Saccharomyces cerevisiae S288C: one gene and its partners. The protein of the gene in region 2 interacts with the protein of the main gene of each other region in a pairwise test. Each region holds a gene or a part of one and is shown on either strand. Other genes may lie near its edges.

Region 1 (5,729 bases), on a different chromosome or scaffold from region 2:
TCATTGGGGTGGCGGTAGTCATTCCGTTTTACGGTATGTTTATTCTGACACTTTGACGCAGATCTAAAAGGTGGAGTGTGGAGTACAAATAGCTCTCTCTCAAATACAGAAAAATACTTGAGTGTACAAAAGTAGCAACCTTTAAATAACAATGATTACTTCAATTGACATAGCAGATGTAACTTATTCTGCCAAACCAAGAATTTTGGTGCCTTATAAAACCCAATGGGAAGTCGCCAGTCATCTTCCTGAATATCGCAAACTGGCAGAAAGGGTAGAATTCTATAAATATGAGATGTCCACAAAGGATGATTTTGTTAAATTTTTGGAAACTCATAGAATAAACGGCTTTTGGCTCACTGAGGAGTTTTTCACTGTGTTAGGAAACCCTTCGAGTTATATTGAATTCTTCCCCGCATCTTTAAAAGTAATCCTTGTACCATGGGTCGGCTGTGACTTTATTGACGGTAAGTTATTAAGATCGAAAGGTATCACTTTATGCAACATTGGACCACATGCTGCTGACCATGTCACAGAATTGGCTATTTTCCTAGCAATTAGCTGCTTTAGAATGACTTCATTTTGGGAATATTGTTTTAAATACGTGGAAAATGGTAATGTTGAACAGTGTAAGAAATATATCTCTAGTGACTCGTATGAAATTGTTACAGATAGTTACCACGGTCAGGAAATGAAATTTCCCTCTCGAACAGACAAATGCAAGCCTAACAAGGATAGGAAAGTGGTACATTTAGCAGAAAAGTACACGGTTGGCGGGAAAAAAATGGAATCTCCAATGAATAAAAAAGTTCTAATATTGGGGTTTGGCTCCATCGGACAAAATATAGGGTCTAACTTGCACAAAGTGTTCAACATGAGCATTGAATACTACAAAAGGACCGGTCCCGTCCAAAAGAGTCTACTTGATTACAACGCTAAGTACCATTCTGATCTAGATGATCCAAATACTTGGAAGAATGCGGATTTGATCATTTTGGCCTTGCCCAGTACGGCCTCTACAAACAATATTATCAATCGTAAAAGTTTGGCCTGGTGTAAAGATGGTGTCAGGATAGTTAACGTTGGGAGAGGCACATGCATAGATGAAGATGTGCTACTAGACGCTCTTGAATCTGGAAAAGTGGCAAGCTGTGGTCTCGATGTGTTTAAAAATGAGGAAACACGCGTTAAGCAAGAGTTACTTCGCAGATGGGATGTTACAGCTTTGCCACATATCGGCAGCACAGTTGCCGACATGGTCATAAAGCAGACACTCATCACACTCGAGAATGTGCAGGACATATTTGTCGAGGGAGGTGATGGTAAGTATGTGCTCAACTGAACCATTCATTATGTTACAAAGATAGCATTTCAATTAGGATTACATACGTATATGCATTGCTCTTTATACCACAACTCTAAGAATGTCGAAAGTTATATGGCGGCGGTGATGTTGGAAAAAAAACGCGGCCGTTTTATAAAGAACAATAATCGTCTGACTAGGTAAAGTACCAGATAAGAACCGTTTTTATTGCGCGTATTGGTATGTTTTTTAAACGGAATTTTTCAAGATTGTTAAATACATCAACGATATATCCATTTTAATCACCGTTTACCTTTGTGTGTTAGCTTTGTATCTGGAAGTTTTTTCTCTTTTCTTCTTTGTCCTTGCCTTCTACCATTTTGCCTTTTGTTCGAGTTCGTGATTACATCAGGCATATACAACATCACGTTTGTTGAAACACTGGCTGCTAGGAGTATCTGTGTGTATATTCTAGAATAAACTCACACTCAACTAACAGCACGCAATGACAGATAATTTGACCACAACTCATGGTGGTAGTACCACCCTTGAATTGTTGGCGCAGTACAATGATCATAGATCCAAAAAGGACAAATCTATAGAACATATAGAAAAAGGAACATGTTCAGGAAAAGAAAGAAATCCGTCCTATGATGAAATTTTTACGGAAAACATTAAGCTAAAGCTACAAGTCCAAGAATATGAAACTGAAATTGAGAGTTTGGAAAAGGTTATTGATATGTTACAAAAAAACAGAGAAGCTTCCTTAGAAGTTGTGCTTGAGCAAGTTCAAAATGACTCAAGAGATTCATACGTTAACGATCAATCATTTGTGTTACCCCCAAGATCTGCTGAAAGGAAAGCGCATATCAAGAGTCTTAATTTGCCAATACCGACATTGTCCCCTCCATTGCAACAAGGTTCAGACGTTGCACTTGAAACAAGTGTAACGCCTACAGTACCTCAAATAGGTGTTACATCAAATACTTCAATAAGTAGGAAGCATTTACAGAACATGATACTAAACGATGAAATAGAAGCAAATAGTAGCTTCTCATCTCCCAAAATTATCAATAGATCTGTCTCAAGCCCTACAAAAATACATTCAGAACAGTTGGCTAGCCCAGCTGCCTCTGTTACCTATACGACGTCTAGGATAACCATAAAATCACCTAATAAAGGTTCGAAATCTCCATTGCAAGAACGTTTGCGTTCCCCTCAAAATCCTAACAGAATGACGGCTGTTATCAACAACCATTTGCATTCTCCATTAAAGGCCAGTACCTCTAATAATTTAGATGAGCTGACTGAAAGTAAAAGTCAACAACTAACTAATGACGCGATACAAAAAAATGACCGCGTTTATTCTTCTATAACATCCTCTGCATACACTACTGGAACTCCTACTTCAGCAGCCAAAAGTCCATCATCCCTTTTGGAAGTCAAGGAGGGTGAAAACAAGGCTTTGGGTTTCTCTCCAGCATCTAAAGAAAAACTTGACGACTTCACCCAATTACTTGACTCCTCATTTGGCGAAGAGGATCTAGTCAATACGGACAGTAAAGATCCTCTGTCCATAAAATCCACGATTAACGAATCTTTACCCCCACCTCCAGCGCCTCCAACTTTTTTCTCACCTACTTCTAGTGGAAATATAAAAAACTCTACTCCTTTATCAAGCCATTTGGCTTCTCCGGTTATCTTGAATAAAAAGGATGATAATTTTGGTGCTCAAAGTGCAAAAAATTTAAAGAAACCTGTGTTAACTTCATCACTCCCCAATCTTTCTACAAAATTGTCAACAACAAGTCAAAATGCTTCTCTTCCTCCAAATCCTCCCGTGGAAAGTTCATCAAAACAAAAACAACTTGGAGAAACGGCATCCATCCATTCAACCAATACCTTGAATACATTTAGCTCAACACCCCAAGGTTCGTTGAAGACACTTAGAAGACCTCATGCAAGTAGCGTGAGCACCGTGAAGTCTGTGGCCCAAAGTCTTAAGTCGGATATTCCATTATTCGTTCAACCGGAGGATTTTGGCACTATCCAGATTGAAGTACTGAGCACATTGTACAGGGATAATGAAGATGATTTATCCATTTTAATTGCAATCATAGACAGGAAATCCGGTAAGGAGATGTTTAAATTTTCAAAATCTATTCATAAAGTTCGCGAATTAGATGTATATATGAAATCACATGTTCCCGATTTACCATTGCCCACGTTACCTGATAGACAATTATTTCAGACTTTATCACCTACAAAAGTGGATACGCGAAAGAACATATTGAATCAGTATTATACAAGCATATTCAGTGTCCCTGAATTTCCCAAAAATGTTGGTTTAAAAATCGCCCAATTTATTAGTACAGATACAGTAATGACACCTCCAATGATGGATGATAATGTGAAAGACGGATCACTTTTGCTGAGAAGACCAAAGACTCTAACAGGTAATAGTACATGGAGAGTTCGGTACGGTATTTTGCGCGATGATGTTTTACAATTGTTTGACAAAAATCAGTTGACTGAAACTATTAAATTGAGACAATCTTCTATAGAACTTATACCCAATCTCCCTGAAGATAGATTTGGAACGAGAAATGGGTTTTTGATCACTGAGCATAAGAAAAGCGGACTGTCAACCTCAACAAAGTATTATATTTGTACTGAAACGTCGAAGGAACGTGAATTATGGCTTTCTGCGTTTAGTGATTACATTGATCCTTCACAAAGTTTATCGTTATCTAGCTCGAGGAATGCAAACGATACTGATTCTGCATCTCACTTGAGCGCAGGAACACACCATTCTAAATTTGGAAACGCAACTATCTCAGCAACCGATACTCCATCATATGTCACTGATTTGACCCAAGAATATAATAATAATAACAATATTAGTAATAGTAGCAATAACATTGCTAATAGCGATGGTATTGACTCAAACCCATCTTCTCACTCTAACTTCCTAGCAAGTTCAAGCGGGAATGCAGAGGAGGAGAAGGATAGTAGGAGAGCCAAAATGAGAAGTTTATTCCCTTTTAAAAAATTAACCGGCCCGGCGAGTGCAATGAACCATATAGGTATTACAATTTCAAATGATTCGGATTCTCCAACATCTCCTGACTCTATCATTAAGTCACCAAGCAAAAAATTAATGGAAGTATCCTCTTCGTCAAATTCTTCTACGGGTCCACATGTGTCCACTGCAATATTTGGCTCGTCACTAGAAACGTGTTTAAGATTGAGTTCGCATAAGTACCAAAACGTTTACGATTTACCGAGTGTAGTTTATCGTTGCTTAGAGTATCTTTACAAAAACCGTGGTATCCAGGAAGAAGGCATATTTAGACTAAGCGGGTCCAGTACAGTTATCAAAACTTTACAAGAAAGGTTTGATAAAGAGTACGATGTAGATTTATGTCGGTACAATGAAAGTATTGAAGCTAAAGATGATGAGGCATCTCCAAGTCTTTACATTGGTGTGAATACTGTAAGTGGGTTACTAAAGTTGTACTTGAGAAAGTTGCCCCATTTATTATTTGGTGACGAACAATTTTTGTCGTTTAAAAGAGTAGTTGATGAAAATCATAATAATCCTGTTCAAATATCATTGGGGTTTAAGGAACTTATTGAATCTGGCCTAGTTCCTCACGCTAACCTATCGTTGATGTATGCTCTTTTTGAACTGCTGGTAAGGATCAATGAGAATAGTAAGTTTAATAAGATGAATCTAAGAAATTTATGCATCGTGTTTTCCCCAACTCTAAATATTCCAATTAGTATGCTTCAACCATTCATCACTGACTTTGCGTGTATATTTCAGGGTGGTGAACCAGTTAAAGAAGAGGAAAGGGAGAAAGTAGATATACATATTCCTCAGGTTTGATGGTCTAAAATTGTAGAAATATAACGTTGCCAGTAAACCTCCATTGATTTAATGATAGAAAGAGGGCGAGATGTATAGAGGCTTCTTTCTTTCAACGATATATTTGTAATAATAAAAAAATGTCAGGCTGATAAAGCTTATAGAGTGACTGTCTTTTTATTCCTCAAATGTTATTTACAATACCATATAATAAAATTAGTATATTGTCAAATAAAATAAGAGAAAAAAACTAACTTCTTGACCAAATGGTCGAAGAGCTGAGATAAAGAAGGAAAAAAATTAAAATTACTAACTATACAAGGAAATATAAAAATAGAAAAATTGTGTTACTAAATACAAAAAAGTAATATATGCGTCACTTCTTTAGTGGGTTCAAGACAACATTATATATGCATTGGTATCACCATCTTCCACCACTTCTTGTTGTATGTTTTCTTGAAACATGAGAAATCATTGATATATCACTATCGTCATAAGTTGGTGTATTTGCGTTTTGAGGCTGTCTTATGCGATGCGGTTTCGTATTGGAGGGAA
Region 2 (3,597 bases):
TAAAAATCCTCAGCCAAAATGAAGGTGGTAATGATATGAAAATTGCCGATGAAGTAGTACCAATGATACAGAAATATTTGGATATATTCATTGATGAGGCGGTGCTGCGGTCCTTGCAATCTCACAAGGACATTAACGGAGAACGTGGCGATAAAAGTCCCTTAGAGTTATCGCATCAAGATTTAGAGCGTATCGTAGGGCTTCTTCTGATGGATATGTAAAAGTATTCAACTTACATTACATCCATGTAAAGACATAAGACATTCCTGGTTGTCTGATAAATTTAAAGCACTATATTTTCTTTCAGTCGTCCTGAACTACGTTAGTTTACTAAAGTAGTTTTTGGAGCGATCGTGCGCTCACATATACAAATATACAGTTCATTTTATACTAAACGCTTGCATCAAAACGCGCTGTGAAATGATTAAATTACTTAGTCCATATATATTATGCGATGCGAGAAAATGCTCATCTGATTAGAAATGCGGACTGGAATGACAGAATCACTTCATAAATCAATTAGAGTATATCCCCGGTTATTTGAGCCATTATTTTGAGACTGCTGTTGAGACTGGTTACCAAAGCCATAGCCTGTTTGTGTTGGTACGACGCTAGTGCTTGGTAAACCTGTATACTGACTGTTCAAAAACGGATTGTGGTTTGGATCATCCGATACTTGCCTATATCCTGTTCCTTGAGAATTGATGAATGTTCCTGTCTTCGTATGTTGGGCAGGAATACGAGCCTCCCCTACATTTCCGAATGTATCAATACCTGTTCCTGTGGCTAGTAGCTCGTTTAGTTTACTATACTTGTCTGTCATTGATTGATTGCCTGTCCTGTTTTGAATCAATGGCTCTTGTTGTTTTTGTTGTTGCAGTTGCTGTGGAGAAGAAGCTGCTACTAGTTGGTTCCGTTTTGGTGAACTTGAGCTCTGTTCTGATTTGGCAAATGGATTGTTGGACATTGCCTGTTGCTGCTGTTGCATAGAAGCTAAGTACTGTTGTTCCTGTAGTTGTTGTTGTTGTTGAAACTGTGCTAGTTCTTCGGGTGTTATAGGATTCCCGAATACATCGTAGTACATTGGTTGTTGTTGCAACTGTTGTTGTTGCTGTTGTTGCTGTTGTTGCAATTGAAATTGTGCGTATTCCTCAGGAGTGATTGGGTTACCAAAAATATCATAATACATAGGTTGTTGCAATTGTTGTTGGCCTTGCTGTTGTTGCATTCTTTGTAAATCTTGCAATCTTTTTAGCTCCTCTTCTTCTTTGCTCAACTGCAAAGCTGTTTCATAATCCTCGTCCTGTTTTCTTCTTCTTTCGTCTTCTTCCGCCGTCAACCTGCTAGCACTAATGGCTCTTTGCAAATCATCGTCATTTTCATCACTGCGCCCAGTTCCCCTTCTTCTTCTTCCTTTCCTGTTTCTTCCCTTGATATTCATGTTCCTTTCCTCGTTCAGTCTTTCGTCATCAGATAGTAATGCAGTCAATTCTTTTGCTTTGACCCTAACGATTTGACCTTGATCTATGCCCTCATCGTCCTCGTGCCTGAACTCCTTCAATGTCTTGATGATGTATAAATTTTCTCTACACCAAAGAACACAATTCTCACTACCAAACCTGATCAAGTAATCTATTACTGTCAATGCCTTTGCGATATGCCTCCAGTATTTGCCCTTGTCGTTAAGTCTTTTGTCCAGCATATCCATGATTTCGAAGAAATCTGCGCTATCATATGATTTTTCAGCCAGCTCAATTAACGAGTCCTTGGACACTTGATGATTGTCGTTTGACGTTGCATTTCTTACCAGGACCTGGGTAGAAGAGTACCCTTTCACCAAATTCTTCGCAGATCTAACAAATTGTTTCGACATGATTGTTCTGCCTCTTGCTCCCTTTCCTTCTGATCCTGGCACTCATACGAACGGCTCTTTCTTCTACTTCTTAAAACTCCTATTTGTCATTGAAAGAAACTTTCATCATTACCCGGATGATTCTCTATACGTAGCCACAATTTCAGACAACCATACTTCCAAAATCAAGTACTTTGAACAACATAAGGCCCCACCAACCTTCCGTAAGACTTGCAATAGGAATTCGTACTGCAGCCGCTGGTTCTATTGCTGTTTAACTCTGTCATCTTTTTGCTCGCTTCGATGTGTTCCTCCACTTGAGATGGCTGATGGAATTTTTCACCTTAACGCGAAAACGCGTGAAAGTGAAATTTAGCTGCAATAAGCCATGCGTTTGCATCTCGCTGTACTTTGTTCAAAAATAAAAGTAATGATTTTGGAGGTTTAGAGCAGCTTTTAACGTCATTGTTCATCAATTACATGCGCAGATTACTGACCGGTTGCCTTCTTTCATCTGCACGTCCCTTGAAATCAAGATTGCCATTATTGATGTCATCCTCATTACCTTCCTCTGCCGGTAAGAAGCCTAAACAAGCCACTTTGGCTAGATTCTTCACTTCCATGAAAAATAAGCCAACAGAAGGTACTCCTTCTCCCAAAAAATCATCCAAACATATGCTGGAAGATAGAATGGATAATGTTAGTGGGGAAGAGGAATACGCGACCAAGAAATTGAAACAGACGGCTGTTACACATACTGTAGCAGCTCCAAGCTCCATGGGTAGCAATTTTTCTTCTATACCATCATCCGCTCCCTCTTCCGGTGTTGCTGATTCACCGCAACAATCTCAGAGGTTGGTAGGTGAAGTTGAAGACGCCTTGAGCTCAAATAATAATGATCACTATTCGTCTAATATCCCCTATTCTGAAGTTTGTGAGGTTTTTAACAAGATTGAGGCCATATCTTCCCGTTTAGAGATTATAAGAATCTGTTCTGATTTCTTTATTAAGATAATGAAGCAATCGTCTAAGAACTTAATACCTACAACATACCTTTTCATCAATAGATTGGGCCCTGACTACGAAGCAGGCTTGGAATTAGGCCTTGGAGAAAATCTTCTTATGAAAACCATAAGCGAAACTTGCGGGAAATCCATGAGCCAAATTAAACTTAAATACAAGGATATTGGGGATTTGGGTGAAATAGCAATGGGTGCGAGAAATGTCCAACCCACTATGTTTAAGCCCAAACCCTTGACCGTGGGTGAGGTCTTCAAAAATCTTAGAGCTATTGCTAAGACTCAGGGCAAAGATTCACAATTAAAAAAGATGAAGCTGATCAAGAGAATGCTTACTGCTTGCAAAGGTATAGAGGCTAAGTTTTTGATTAGATCCCTAGAGTCAAAATTGAGAATCGGTCTTGCTGAAAAGACTGTCTTAATATCCCTATCGAAGGCTCTTTTGCTCCATGATGAAAATAGGGAGGACTCTCCAGACAAAGATGTCCCCATGGATGTGTTAGAAAGTGCTCAACAAAAGATAAGAGACGCATTTTGTCAAGTACCCAACTATGAAATTGTTATAAACTCATGCCTGGAACACGGTATTATGAATTTAGATAAATATTGTACTCTAAGACCAGGAATTCCATTGAAACCCATGTTAGCCAAGCCTACCAAGGCAATTAATGAAGTATTGGATAGATTTCAAGGCGAAACTTTTACGTCAGAATACAAATACGATGG
Region 3 (3,406 bases), on a different chromosome or scaffold from region 2:
GACATACTTTTGCTAAAGTTGGTACTAGACCTTTAAATAGACCTTGATAACCTTCCCTTTCTAGCGTCTTTAACAAAACATCTTTAAAGCCGTTATACACATAAGGATGTGCATATGTTCCTTGGGCTTGTAGTCTTGTTCTTAAAAGATTGATTGGATAAACAACAGAAGCTCCTACAGTTCCACTGAATGCACCCATTGGAAGTACAACCAGGTTGCTTAGAGTGACCTGATCTTGTGGTAGGTTCAGGGTCTTTGCCTGTTTGGCAATATACCATTTTTTTAAGGCAGAAAAAGTCCCCAAATCTAATGCAGCATAGGGAAATATGCCCACTATACCGACTGTGACACCTCTGTAAAATAATCTGACCCCCCCCCTCTCGAAACATATCTTTTGCAGTCTGAAAGAGCAAATTATTCCCCTTCAACTTTGTGTCCAAAGGAGCGCACTGCACCCTGAATTTCAAAGTATCTATAGGATAAACGGAAAACTGAGCTGCCATACCAGCTAAACCACCAGCAATGTAAGTAGAGAACTTTGAAAGATCTTTTGTGTCGCGGCAGCCTTCTAATTTGGTCATTATTTTCTTGGTGACCTCGAAAGAACCAAACTTTATCGAACTTTCTGGAAAAACTTTGATGACGTTTAAACCGTTCCCAACATAAAAAGCCTTTATCCCGCCTTGCCTATATAAGCTTTTGACAGCCTTTGCTAATGGAGATGATATCTTGTTTATGTCAGCATTGGGGTTTTTAGCAAGGAGATCTGTTTTTGAATTTAACAAGATCGAGGATAGATCCGTTCTTGCGATGAGAAACACTTTCAGTCTATCAAATGGCGCGGTACAAGTCCTTGAAATAACACCTGAAATACCACCAGCAATAAAAAACCCGAACCCGCGAATGAAATCGTTTATGAGAGTAACATCTCCCTCTGAGGACAGATCGACATCTTCGTTGAATAGGTAAAAATAGGAATAAGCAGTATGAAGTCTCGAACCCTGCTTTCTCGGTACCAGCAGCAAAAAGTCTCTCCATTGATCATATGTAACGTATAAATCTGAGTCGGTGGTTTTCTTTGACCGATCATTATCAGTATTCTTTTTGTGGCTAGCCTGGCCTCGTAGCGCAATGTTGGCTTTTCTCTTTGGAAACGCCCATTCAAAAAACCTCGAGAATTTGTTCATCTTTTCATTTGAAAGTTCATGATTAAGTTCATTATTACATATGCTCTGGTTGTCGAGGTCTGACAAATACCTATTTATTTCGTTAATGCCAATCTTACCGTCATGATCTAAATCTATCCTCTGGAAGCCGTTCCAAATTTGAGATTCGGCATTGGAAGCATACTTCTTGAAATCGCTTAAATCAACTACAGAGTCCTTGTTAACATCCATTGCAGTAAACAGCATTTTGATTGCCTCATCATTTCCCTTGAGCGGATGGTCGTTCTTCTCAAAAGCACTTATCAGATTATCTAGAGTAACTTGACCATTTCCCTTAACATCAAGTTCCTTGAACAAACACGCATACCGTATATCTCGCTGCTTGTCCGTCTCGCAATTTTTCAGCAGCATTTAGACCGTCATTCGATTGAATTAAACGTTATTTGCCCCTTCAAATATTCAATATTTCCCATCGCTAATAAAAAAGCTGCATTTTTATTTATTACTTTTTAAATATCATATTTGACGATCGTGTAGGACCCCTATGATTTAACATATCAAGAATGAATGAAAAGAACGTCAGAAACACAAGGTTAATTGCCTGTTATAATCAGACGATTGTAATATAACCATAGAGTTAGTGGGTATTGGAAAGGCCGGTAAAGATAACAGGGATCTCTGAAAAATGCCCAAGTTGGAACAATTTGAAATAAAAAAATACTGGCAAATCTTCTCGGGTTTGAAACCAATAGAGAATAAGGTAAACCATGACCAGGTTTTACCAATTCTTTATAATTCCAAATTAGATTCATCGGTTCTAAACAAGATTTGGTTTTTAGCTGATATTGATGACGACGACAATTTAGACTTTGAGGAATTTGTAATTTGCATGAGATTAATATTTGATATGGTTAATAAAAACATTAGCTCTGTTCCAGATGAATTGCCTGATTGGTTGATTCCAGGGAGTAAGGTGAATCTAATCAAAGAAAGAAAGAAGCGCAAGCAAATAGAAAACGCAGACTTGCCTCCAAAGAAGGAAATCAAAGTAGATTGGTACATGTCTCCAGATGATTTGAATCAATATGAAAAAATTTATAATAGCTGTGCAAAACTAACCGATGGTACTATTACATTCAACGAACTGTCAACAAAACTTTCCACAAAATTTTTTAACATCAGTAAGACAGATTTAAATAAGGTTTGGAGTTTAATTAACCCACAAAATTTGCCATCAATTGATAGAGATCCTACTTTTTATTTTATTCACTGTTTAAGACAAAGAAATGATTTGGGTGCTGAAATTCCAGCAAGTTTACCAAATTCTCTGGCGGAGGTGTGCAATAAAAAACAACTGAGCTATGATTTACGGTCCTCTCAACCTCCTACAAAGAGAAAAGAAGAAGCTAACGAAGTGGACAATCTGCGTGACAATGGGCAGAACTCGAGTTCCGATAGCAGTGGCAGTAACGTGCTTTCAAATGAAGACAGTATAAAGCAAAAATATGCTTCTCTGACAGATGATCAAGTTGCGAACATGAGAGAACAATTAGAAGGCCTTTTGAACTACAAAAAGAGTGAAAAAACTCAAGGAGGCTCAAAACTTTCTAAGCGGATTAACATCAGGTCGATAACTGATGACTTGGATAACATTGAACAGCAGGTTGAAGTATTGGAGAATTACTTGAACAATAAGAGACACGAATTGCAAGCATTACAAGCAGAAATCAATTGACACCGATAATTAATTTTATGTACATGAATGTGTAATATTTACTGTTTGTTATTTCACTTGTAAACTTTTTTGATTTGAACTTCAATCTATCCAGTAACGGTGTGGTGTATACTTATTTTTTCCTTTTCTTCTCTGCCGGAATTTCATAAAATTTTTACTGTTCAGCGTTCTTTACATATTTATATAATAGAATATGTCATATAAAGAAACAGTGACTTAGTTTCTGTTTTACTTTTTTTCTCCTATTTCTACCGTGATTTTGATTAGTTTTTTCTTTAATTGTTGCTATTCACTGTGCTTGTGTTAAATCTTGATGATGGTACTTGAACCCTCTGAATAATGATAATATACCTCTTTACAGTAACTATCTTTCTTTATTGGGTGCTTTTTAAATAGTTCCACTATTTCCATCATACTCATTCTCACGCTTCAGCTAGATAGAGCTGTTGTAGTAAACTCAACTGCTTTAGTGAATAATTTAAACACGTTTTCATCGATTAATTTC

Evidence for each region.
Region 1: the proteins of ENT1 (region 2) and BEM3 interact in a two-hybrid assay, tested with the Saccharomyces cerevisiae proteins (one study listed by BioGRID).
Region 3: the proteins of ENT1 (region 2) and END3 come close enough for resonance energy transfer, tested with the Saccharomyces cerevisiae proteins (one study listed by BioGRID).

Annotation. Positions count from the first base shown.
Region 1 is NC_001148.4:331,566-337,294, reverse strand, and holds BEM3 (GTPase-activating protein BEM3), read left to right. Parts: upstream 1-1,808; coding exon 1,809-5,195; downstream 5,196-5,729. Other genes in the region: YPL113C (glyoxylate reductase), read left to right, coding at 152-1,342; HOS3 (histone deacetylase), read right to left, coding at 5,596-5,729. UniProt on the Saccharomyces cerevisiae protein: GTPase-activating protein (GAP) for CDC42 and less efficiently for RHO1. Negative regulator of the pheromone-response pathway through the STE20 protein kinase.
Region 2 is NC_001136.10:165,990-169,586, reverse strand, and holds ENT1 (epsin), read right to left. Parts: upstream 1,874-3,597; coding exon 509-1,873; downstream 1-508. Other genes in the region: MHF2 (Mhf2p), read left to right, coding at 1-221; DNA ligase (ATP) CDC9, read left to right, coding at 2,333-3,597. UniProt on the Saccharomyces cerevisiae protein: Binds to membranes enriched in phosphatidylinositol 3,5-bisphosphate (PtdIns(3,5)P2) and phosphatidylinositol 4,5-bisphosphate (PtdIns(4,5)P2). Required for endocytosis and localization of actin. Negatively regulated via phosphorylation.
Region 3 is NC_001146.8:469,548-472,953, reverse strand, and holds END3 (End3p), read left to right. Parts: upstream 1-1,851; coding exon 1,852-2,901; downstream 2,902-3,406. Other genes in the region: Ca(2+)-binding ATP:ADP antiporter SAL1, read right to left, coding at 93-1,577; MKT1 (Mkt1p), read right to left, coding at 3,331-3,406. UniProt on the Saccharomyces cerevisiae protein: Component of the PAN1 actin cytoskeleton-regulatory complex required for the internalization of endosomes during actin-coupled endocytosis. The complex links the site of endocytosis to the cell membrane-associated actin cytoskeleton.